Neurospora crassa OR74A: one gene and its partner. Each later gene encodes a partner of the first gene's protein in a complex. Links are inferred from orthologs where the notes say so. Each region holds a gene or a part of one and is shown in the gene's direction. Other genes may lie near its edges. The genes, in order: NCU07544 and mus-8.

The links.
Region 2: the proteins of NCU07544 (region 1) and mus-8 are in contact, whole or in part, in a crystal structure (PDB 7W75), measured with the Kluyveromyces lactis proteins. The link is inferred for Neurospora crassa OR74A from reciprocal best matches to the Saccharomyces cerevisiae genes BRE1 and RAD6. Residues at the interface, in XP_451665.1 of Kluyveromyces lactis: Ser17, Glu18, Pro19, Leu20, Thr21, Gln22, Val25, Ile26, Phe28, Gln29, Ala32, Leu33, Arg35, Cys36; in XP_452450.1 of Kluyveromyces lactis: Met16, Lys17, Glu18, Ser20, Met39, Ile41, Asp50, Thr52, Ser148, Trp149, Asp152, Met153, Glu154, Met156, Ala157.

The regions. Positions count from the first base shown.
Region 1 is NC_026503.1:4,425,531-4,429,964, reverse strand, and holds the start of NCU07544 (ubiquitin ligase BRE1), read left to right. Parts: upstream 1-1,373; 5' UTR 1,374-2,167; coding exon 2,168-2,347; intron 2,348-2,627; exon of another isoform or gene 2,628-2,716; intron 2,717-2,779; coding exon 2,780-2,923; intron 2,924-2,980; coding exon 2,981-4,434. Other genes in the region: NCU07543 (hypothetical protein), read right to left, coding at 1-674. UniProt on the Saccharomyces cerevisiae protein: E3 ubiquitin-protein ligase that mediates monoubiquitination of histone H2B to form H2BK123ub1 in association with the E2 enzyme RAD6/UBC2.
Region 2 is NC_026504.1:1,993,860-1,997,658, forward strand, and holds mus-8 (mus-8), read left to right. Parts: upstream 1-1,548; 5' UTR 1,549-1,871; coding exon 1,872-1,913; intron 1,914-2,004; coding exon 2,005-2,069; intron 2,070-2,152; coding exon 2,153-2,377; intron 2,378-2,450; coding exon 2,451-2,574; 3' UTR 2,575-3,263; downstream 3,264-3,799. Other genes in the region: NCU09732 (acetyl-CoA acetyltransferase), read right to left, coding at 1-67, 129-278. UniProt on the Saccharomyces cerevisiae protein: E2 ubiquitin-conjugating enzyme that accepts ubiquitin from the ubiquitin-activating enzyme E1 and transfers it to a E3 ubiquitin-protein ligase.

The DNA.
Region 1 (4,434 bases):
GAGGACGTGGTACTTGAAGGATCGGCAGTAGGTGTCGGGCGTGTAGCTCTGGATGGAGATTGTGCTATGATTTCTGATGTCGCCACGGAGCTTCTGCCTCTGGGCCTTGTGATTTCGATGATGGTCGGAGTAATGACCGCCGCCGGTGTACCCCTGGCTTTGGAAGGTGTCTGTCTTGGTGCCGCTGCTTTCGGATTCTCGGTCGCGGTCGTCGCATTCGAACTCTTTTCGCTTGTCGGTTTCTCGGCTGGCTTCTCAACTGGTTTCTCTACTGGCTTTTCCACGGGGGTACTCGCCGTTGCGGTAGGGGCTGGAGTTGGCGCCGGAGCTAGAACAGAAGCTGTAGCTGAGATCGTGGCAGGTTGTGCTTGCTTGTCCGTTGGAGCGGCATCTCTGGAAACCGGTTTGGCAACACTCGAAGACTCCTTCTCGGGGACCGTATCGCTTGCGAGAGTTGCAGGGGGTGTAGGCTGAGCTGAAGCTGAAGCCGGCGACACCTGACGGGTCGAGGGACCGGACTCGGCTGTGGGAGTGGCGGCAGCTGTGGTAGGTTGTGAGGTTGTCGACTCGGTCGGGGCGGGAGTTGAATCGGTGGATTTTGCTGAAGGAGGCGCGTTGCGACGAGCAACCACCTTGGGTTTGACCTTGGGGCCGAAGCCCGGTTTCTTGAGCATCTGGAGAATAGTCGGCGACTACCGGGAATCAACTACAGAGAAGGGGAGGCGTCGATGTTTTGGTGAGCATGGCCCACACAAGGCTGCCGACGATAAACAAAGACTATGTATGGTAGGGTTATGATGAGCCTCAAGCGATGCGACTTTGTTCTGGCGGGTATCGAATTGGTTTGGTGTGTGTCCAGAAAACCGTGAGGTTTGAAGATCGAGGATAGCGCGCGGCCAAGGGAGTCAATTGCTGCACATAGCGACTGAAAGACAGACGCGCGAGAGGTTACCCGCCTAATTGATTGTTGACTGATAAAGTGGTGATGGGAAAAAAGATGGGCGGGGTGGGTGGGTGGTCCAGTCCCGGCCGGTGGTGGTGGTGCACTGGGCCACTGGCTCCGGGTAGTCTGGTACCAGTTCACATCGGCCAGTGGCATGGGAGGAATCTACGCAGTACTTGTAGTGTAAAGTGCGATAAAGGCACCGCTGGCCAACCAAAAGCTGAAAGAGGCTTAGCGTGACGCATCCAAAGGGCGAGAGAGTGGATTCTGTCGGTCTGGCGGGCGGGTTCGCCGCCAGTCCATCTCCAGCTTTGCGCTCCCGTTCAAAGACCCACTTTTTGTGTCCAGCAGCGGCCGATGAGCGAAGGAACGAAGGTGTTGAGAATGTGGAAAGGTTGCAGTTGCAGACTGACAGACTTGATTCCTCCTCCAGGCCATTGCTCCCGCCCTTCCTCGTCACAGACAAACAGATGGAAGACGCGGGACTAACCAGAGAACAGTAATTCATCGACCCATTGTATTCAATTACCCTACTTACCTAACCTCGACACCTCGGCGGCCTGTCCGTTGCGGCTTGCTGCGCTGGTCCCTCTCAACTTAAGTTCTCTACTCTAAGTACCTATCTAGGCTGGGTCAAACTGGAGCCCGTCCGGCTCGGCTCTCCAGTCACGTTCTTCGACCTGCCTCAGGTGCTGCTCCGTCCTTTCCACACTTTCCATCCTCCGACACTTTGTTCAAGACTGGAACCCGCACGCTCCTTTTTGGCAGCGAGCCGTGACTGTCTTTTTTCCACCAAGTCTGCGCACCGGGTCTGTCCGTCCAACTTCACCACCCACCCACCCACCCACCCAGCTCACCCACAAACCCATCACATCGTCGTCGCCGACACGCCCCTCCGCATCCGTTGACGCCCTCATCGACGACGGAGAACGAGTCATCCACACCCCGTATGCAGTGGCGGTAAGAGAGGTCAACCATTACAGAGACCACCACGTCTTTCATCGCACACACGCACGCACGCACGCACGCACGCACGCACGCCCGGCTGGCTGCTCTCGCCTTCCGTTCTTGCTCTCCATTGCCGACCGCGCTTTTCCTTTCAACCTCTTTTCTTCTGCCTGCTGCTGCTTGGTTTCTGGCCTTGGTCCTTCGCTCGCGCTTTCGCCCTCCGCCGCCCGCGCCGACAACTGAGTTCCCGGTCCGCTCCCTCCAGCGCCTCACCTCATGCCGGTTGCCACCTCTCCCTCCGCTGTGCCTCGTCCTACCACCGTCAAGATGGAGGACAGGAAGAGACCCGCCGCCAACGCGGACGACGTTGCCCCTCCTAGCAAGCGACAGGCTGTCAACGGCACCAGCAAGTCCAAGGACGACTCCAACGATTCAAGGGAAGAGGCTTGGATTGAGGTAAGTTCCACAAATTGTCGGCTACCGCTTCATACCCACCCACCCCCTCCTTTCTCGCCCTTCCCCGTATCACCACATCCAAGCCTAGCCCCTCACATCCTCCACGCCGTCCGGCGTGTCCTATCCTCTCAGCCCCTCGACGCCGCTTGCCATCCACCGCAGTCGCGTCCGCTTTAGATAGCATCTTACGTGTCGGCCAACCTCCTGATGACCCTCACCGCGATGTTTTTGTTGGGGTACTCTCCTCGACCCTTGCTAATGCGCGGCTTGCTGGCAACAGCACGCCCGGCTCCCAGGATTCCCTCTTCATCATGCAATGCCTTGACCCTGCCTACTCCCAAATACCACGCTCCTTGACTCGCCCACGGTGTACATGAATCTCCTTTCACGGGCTTGGAGGCGACGGCTTGGCTGACTGGTTACAATGCGCAGGAATATCAAAAAGGTGCCATTTACCGGCAGATGCTCGAGTACAAGCGGTCAAAGGTCGACCTAGAACACCGTCTACAAGAAGCCGAGAAAAGCGCGGCTTTTCACGATGATCATTTGCGGGTTATCAAGTACTGGCTATCGCAGGTATGTCTCGGCCCCACTCATATCTCCACACGACAAAGCGCGCTGACAACCCCCCAGTTGACTCAAGAGCTAGAGTTGATTGTCGAAGGGTCCCTCAAATCCATAGCCCTCAAGCCCGTAGACTCCAATTGGGTATCGAGCCTCGCCTTTAAGGACAGCAAGGAATTCCGCCAACATTTGGACGACATCAAGAAACCCGTCATTCTCAAGGTCGAGTCGCTACTCAACAAGCTCGCCAGTTCCCGGGGCGAGGTCAAGCCCGATGTGGCGCAATTGGAAGCACAGGTGAAGTCTTTGCTGGCAAATCAAAAGGAACTAGCAGTGAAAATCGACAGACTCCAGGCCGAAAATGCGACGCTCTCCGAACAATATGATACCGCGACGCTCAAAGTGATCAAGGCGGAACGGAAGCTCGATAGGGTTAGAAGTGCCCAAGTCCAAAAATTGGAACAGCAGGCACTGGCCAACTCGACAACGCGACAAACCACAAATGACGAAAATGGCACAAGTTCAATTGCGGAAAACGGCGACGGCGCCGAGTACAAGACCAAATACAAGGAAGCCATTGCCGTGGCCAACAAGCAAAAAGAACAGATTGAATCTCTTCTTGCCGAAATCAAGACCTTGCAAGAAGAAAATGCCAGTTTCAAGATCAAGAAGGAGGGCATTTCCGAGGAAGATTATGCCCGGACCGACGTATTCAAGCAGTTCAAGGCTCAAAACGAGGATCTCATCAAGCGCATCAACAACCTGGAGGCCGTCAACAAGCAGTTCCGGGAAGACGCCGAGAAGCTGCGGGCCGAACGAACATCGTACCGTGCCACCCTGGAACAAGAAGCCCAGGCTCTCACGTCAGACCTGGAGGACCAGATACAACAAAAGGACCAGGATCTCACTAGGATCCGCTCCGCAAGGGATGAACTTCTTGCTGAACTTGCAATGCGCAAGGCAAGCCAGGAACAGGAAAAGACAGCATCCGCTCACCTGAATGAGCTTGTTGAGGCCATGACAGATCGCGTAACCCAACTAGAATCCGAACTTGAGAGGTTAAGACCAACGGAAGATGTAGCCAAGGCCGCCCCGACGGATGATTTAAGCACTCTCTCGGCTGAAGAGCTCCGTGAGAAGTTTGCCAAGTTGGAGCGGGATTACGAGGCGATCAACAAGGAGCTTCCAGCACTCGAGAAGTCATATAGGAAGGCTATGGGTATCGCCCATAAGAAGGTGATGGATTTCACTGCTCTGGAGGAGCGGGTTGCTATTCTCACAGCGGAAAAGAGCAAAGCAGACCAGAAGTACTTTGCGGCGCGCAAAGACATGGACATTCGGATAGCCGAGATACGGACATTGCGCGGACAGAACAGCAAGAGCTCCGAGATCATTTCTCAGCTTAAGGATGTCGAGACACAGCACCGAGCACTCATCACCACTTTGGAGAAGCAGATTGCGGATCTGAAGCAGTCCAACATAACTATTGTGACGGAGAGCAAGAAGCTGGAATCCTTGAGTTC
Region 2 (3,799 bases), on another chromosome or scaffold:
TGACGGCCTCCTTGATGGCAACGGCACCGAGCTTGGGAGCAGGAACGGTGGTGTAAGAGCCATTGAACTGGCAGACGTTAGCACAAGCGCTGTGTTGTGGAAATGGCTGATTTTACGGAGCGCTTTACCTTGGCCGTTGGTGTCCTCACACCACTGAGAATGTAGGCATCCTGAATCTGCTGGCGGAGAGCAGACTGGGTGGAAAAAAGACGAGCGCAAGCGACACGGGAAGTGCGCGAAGCCGAGCCAGCGGCTGTCCTGGCGTGGCTAAGAACCATTCTGATGTCGGAAGCTGGTGACGATGAGTTACAGGACGTAGGGGCGGTACTGCACAGCGCAGATGTCGGAGGGGAATCTGGCGAGAAGGAAGAAAGGAAGATGGCCGAACGGGGAATGAACAACAGCACAACAGGAGAGGCAACACAAAAACAGGAGCAGGAAATAATTGGGAGTAGGGACAGAATCACAGGGAAGACTTTCTTCTATTGTTTAAAAATGATTAATAAAACTACCAGTTGGGGAGGCGATAGCTAGGTGGTCTCTTCCTCTCCTTCCCGCTTTCTTTTCCTCGGAACTTGTCAGATGCCATGATGGCACCGGTCGGCTTGTGACGGTACATGTGTGGAGAGGATTCACACCAAAGCGATGCTTCACCCCGCCAATTGAGCGCCAAACAGTGGCCGCCACCGTGGTTCCTCCGCGGGGACCCCAACGGGCGCAAGGGACACAGAAGCTTGGTATCCGGGGTTTCCCGTGGAGCCTGCCGCTGACCGACAGGGGAAGCTCCTCATCCACAACAACTGAAGAATGCCCTGCTTGGGTCATGAGCCCATGAGTGCCGTACCCACGGGCGGATGGAGAAACATCAGATGGAGCCAGAGTTGAAGCCGTAGCGGAGGGGAAACGGTCAACGGATCGATTCGGGGGTGGATGCTCTCCAAGCAGTTCATTCACTCTTTCCGCAGCCTCCTGTTGCCCAGCGCCGGCATCATACCTAGCTGTACCGGATACTGCCCGCATAAAATCAGGGATCAAAAGGCCAGGGCACTGCACGCTCAAGAGTCGTTTCGCATCACTTAACAATCTATCCCAGTCGCGGTTGTCCCTGCAATTGCCATCCCGCGCGCGTCTTTGGATGTTGGGCAGAAGCGAACCACTTTACACGCGGGAACAAAAGCCGAGCTTCCCAACGCGATATGTTTGAGATGTTGCGTTGGTTCCAAGCAACGATCCTATTGCGGCGTTGAAGTGTTTTCGGGCAGCTGCCGGGGGATGCCACAGGAGACAGCTTGATCAAATCACTGATTCAACCCGAACAATTGGCTGTCATGCTACAATTTCTGATGTTTTCTTGGGATTCATTTGTCAGTTCGATTAGTTAGATGTTTGGCTGGACAACCATTCGGCGGTGGCGTGAGAGAAGGTGTGTGACTGTGTGATCCCATTCCATCAGCTGGCAGTCACCTCGCGCACGAGCCACCAGTCGCTTCATACCCAAGTGTAATTGGCCGAGAATCAGAAAAGTGCTATTAACAATCCGGCGGCAATTGTCAACCGGGGCAGTCACTGTTCATTGCCCCTGCCCTCGGCGCGCGTTCTCCTAGCTTCTTTGTGACGCCCCCCTCCGGGCAATCAGTTGGGTATGATAAGATAGCGGTCGTTAATGCGCGTTCACTTGTTGGCTCTGCTGGTTTCCGTCATTCATCTCCGCCCCTTCAAATCAGTTCGTTTGATTGTCTCTTCGCTATTCCAACCACGAAACCCATCTCGACTTCGAACAAAGTATCGCATCGATCCTACGTACTCCATCAACCTTGTAGCTTTCTCTCCATACGCCTGGGCCGACTTCATCATCCATCACCAAAGCCAAAATGTCAACCGCTGCCCGCCGCCGGCTCATGCGAGACTTCAAGGTGCGAGACATCATGAGCCACCCCGTTGGGTTCACACCGCTTGATGACTTGGCCGCCATGAGCACAATATACTCACCATGTTCCTCGACAGCGCATGCAAACCGATCCTCCCGCTGGTGTTTCCGCCTCTCCCGTACCCGATAATGTTATGACATGGTAAGGAGAACGATCTTTGCTGCGGTGTCGTTATGGGCGGTCGACCCCCGGCATGGCAATGACTGACATGAGTCTCCATATAGGAACGCCGTGATCATCGGACCCGCCGATACGCCCTTCGAAGATGGCACCTTCCGCCTGGTGATGCACTTTGAGGAGCAGTATCCCAATAAGCCTCCTTCGGTCAAGTTCATCAGCGAGATGTTCCACCCCAATGTTTACGCCACTGGCGAACTTTGTCTCGATATCCTTCAGAACCGCTGGAGTCCTACGTACGACGTCGCGGCTGTTCTTACCAGTATTCAGAGGTACGACTGCATAATATCTTGTTGACGTTCATTTTGCGTTGTGTTATTATGCTGACAAAACTGTCTTGACTAGTTTGCTCAATGACCCGAACACAGGATCGCCTGCAAACGTCGAAGCCTCCAATCTATACAAGGACAACCGCAAAGAATACCACAAGAGGGTCCGGGAAACTGTTGAGAAGAGCTGGGAGGATTGAATAGTGACGACATTTATCACCACGGGGCCCTCAATGGCAAAAAGCCAATGATTGATCTGGGTGCTGCAAGTCGGTGTTGATATTGCTCACTGGGCTGTTCGATACAGATCTCTTGGCTATATCAACAGTCAGTTGTCGACCGACGACGAGTTGCGAGATGATCCACATTCGAGGATACCCGGCGGTTTGGCCTTTTAGGGCGTGAGGGTGGAACGGATGTCGTGATATTACATTGCATTTGGGAGGCGTCGTTCTTTCGGGGCGTTTTTGTTGTATTTCAAATATCCGCATCTCTCGCCTATTGATGGCTGAGAGTCAGCCTGCTTGTCTGCAATGGAGAGAGCGGGAGTGCTTGGTTTTTCTCACTCTTTAGGGCGATTGTCGGGTTTGGAGTTTAGGCGCTCGTATCATACCAACACAAGCACATCTGGCGAGGGCAGTCCCTGGATACCTCAACTCACCCCAAAAAGCCCTAGATAGCGTTCTTTTCTTTTGTCTTAGAGATGAAGAGATGGCATAGTGTCTTTCATTGCAAAAAGCTCACCATGTTATGTCGGCCGGCTTAGATGTACGAGTTTCCAGAGAGTCTTGCATTTCTCAGCTTTCCTCTGTTTCTTTGACGAAAGTGTACATGACCCCGCTTGGTGCCTTACATCCACATGATTTATATCACCTATACCTAAGGCTGAGAGTCAAGTCTAGCGTGCACATTTCGAACTGCGGCGTTGTTTAATACACGCTCACGTTAACAGGCATACCTTGGATGCAAGGGTCCCTGTGAGAGTGAAAGACAGGCTGACTACCTCTATCGTAAATGCCCAGAAAACGCAGGGTTAAAGGGCTGTCAGATGCTTTTGGCGGCCGTCAGAGAGCATTAGTGTACGTGGCTTCCGAACACTTTTAACCCTGCAATCTGGAAACAAGGTTCTCAAGTCTGTATGGTACGTCCTGGTCCGACTTACCCAGCTCTACATGGCTCTTTTGGAAGACTTCTCATAACTTGCATAGGTACGATTTTATGTTGTAGGACTGACGCTTTGCGTATGATCTGCATGAGGGGTGAGGTTGTTTATATATTGTGGGTAGCTGAACTTGGCTAGGCTCCTCTACCTACAGCGAGCGGTAGCCTCTTGAAAGCTCGAATTGACAACGTAGAGAGGTATCTTGAAAATTGATTGCAAGTTACCCAAAAGAGCAAAGAAATGGCCATAGGCAACTCGAACAG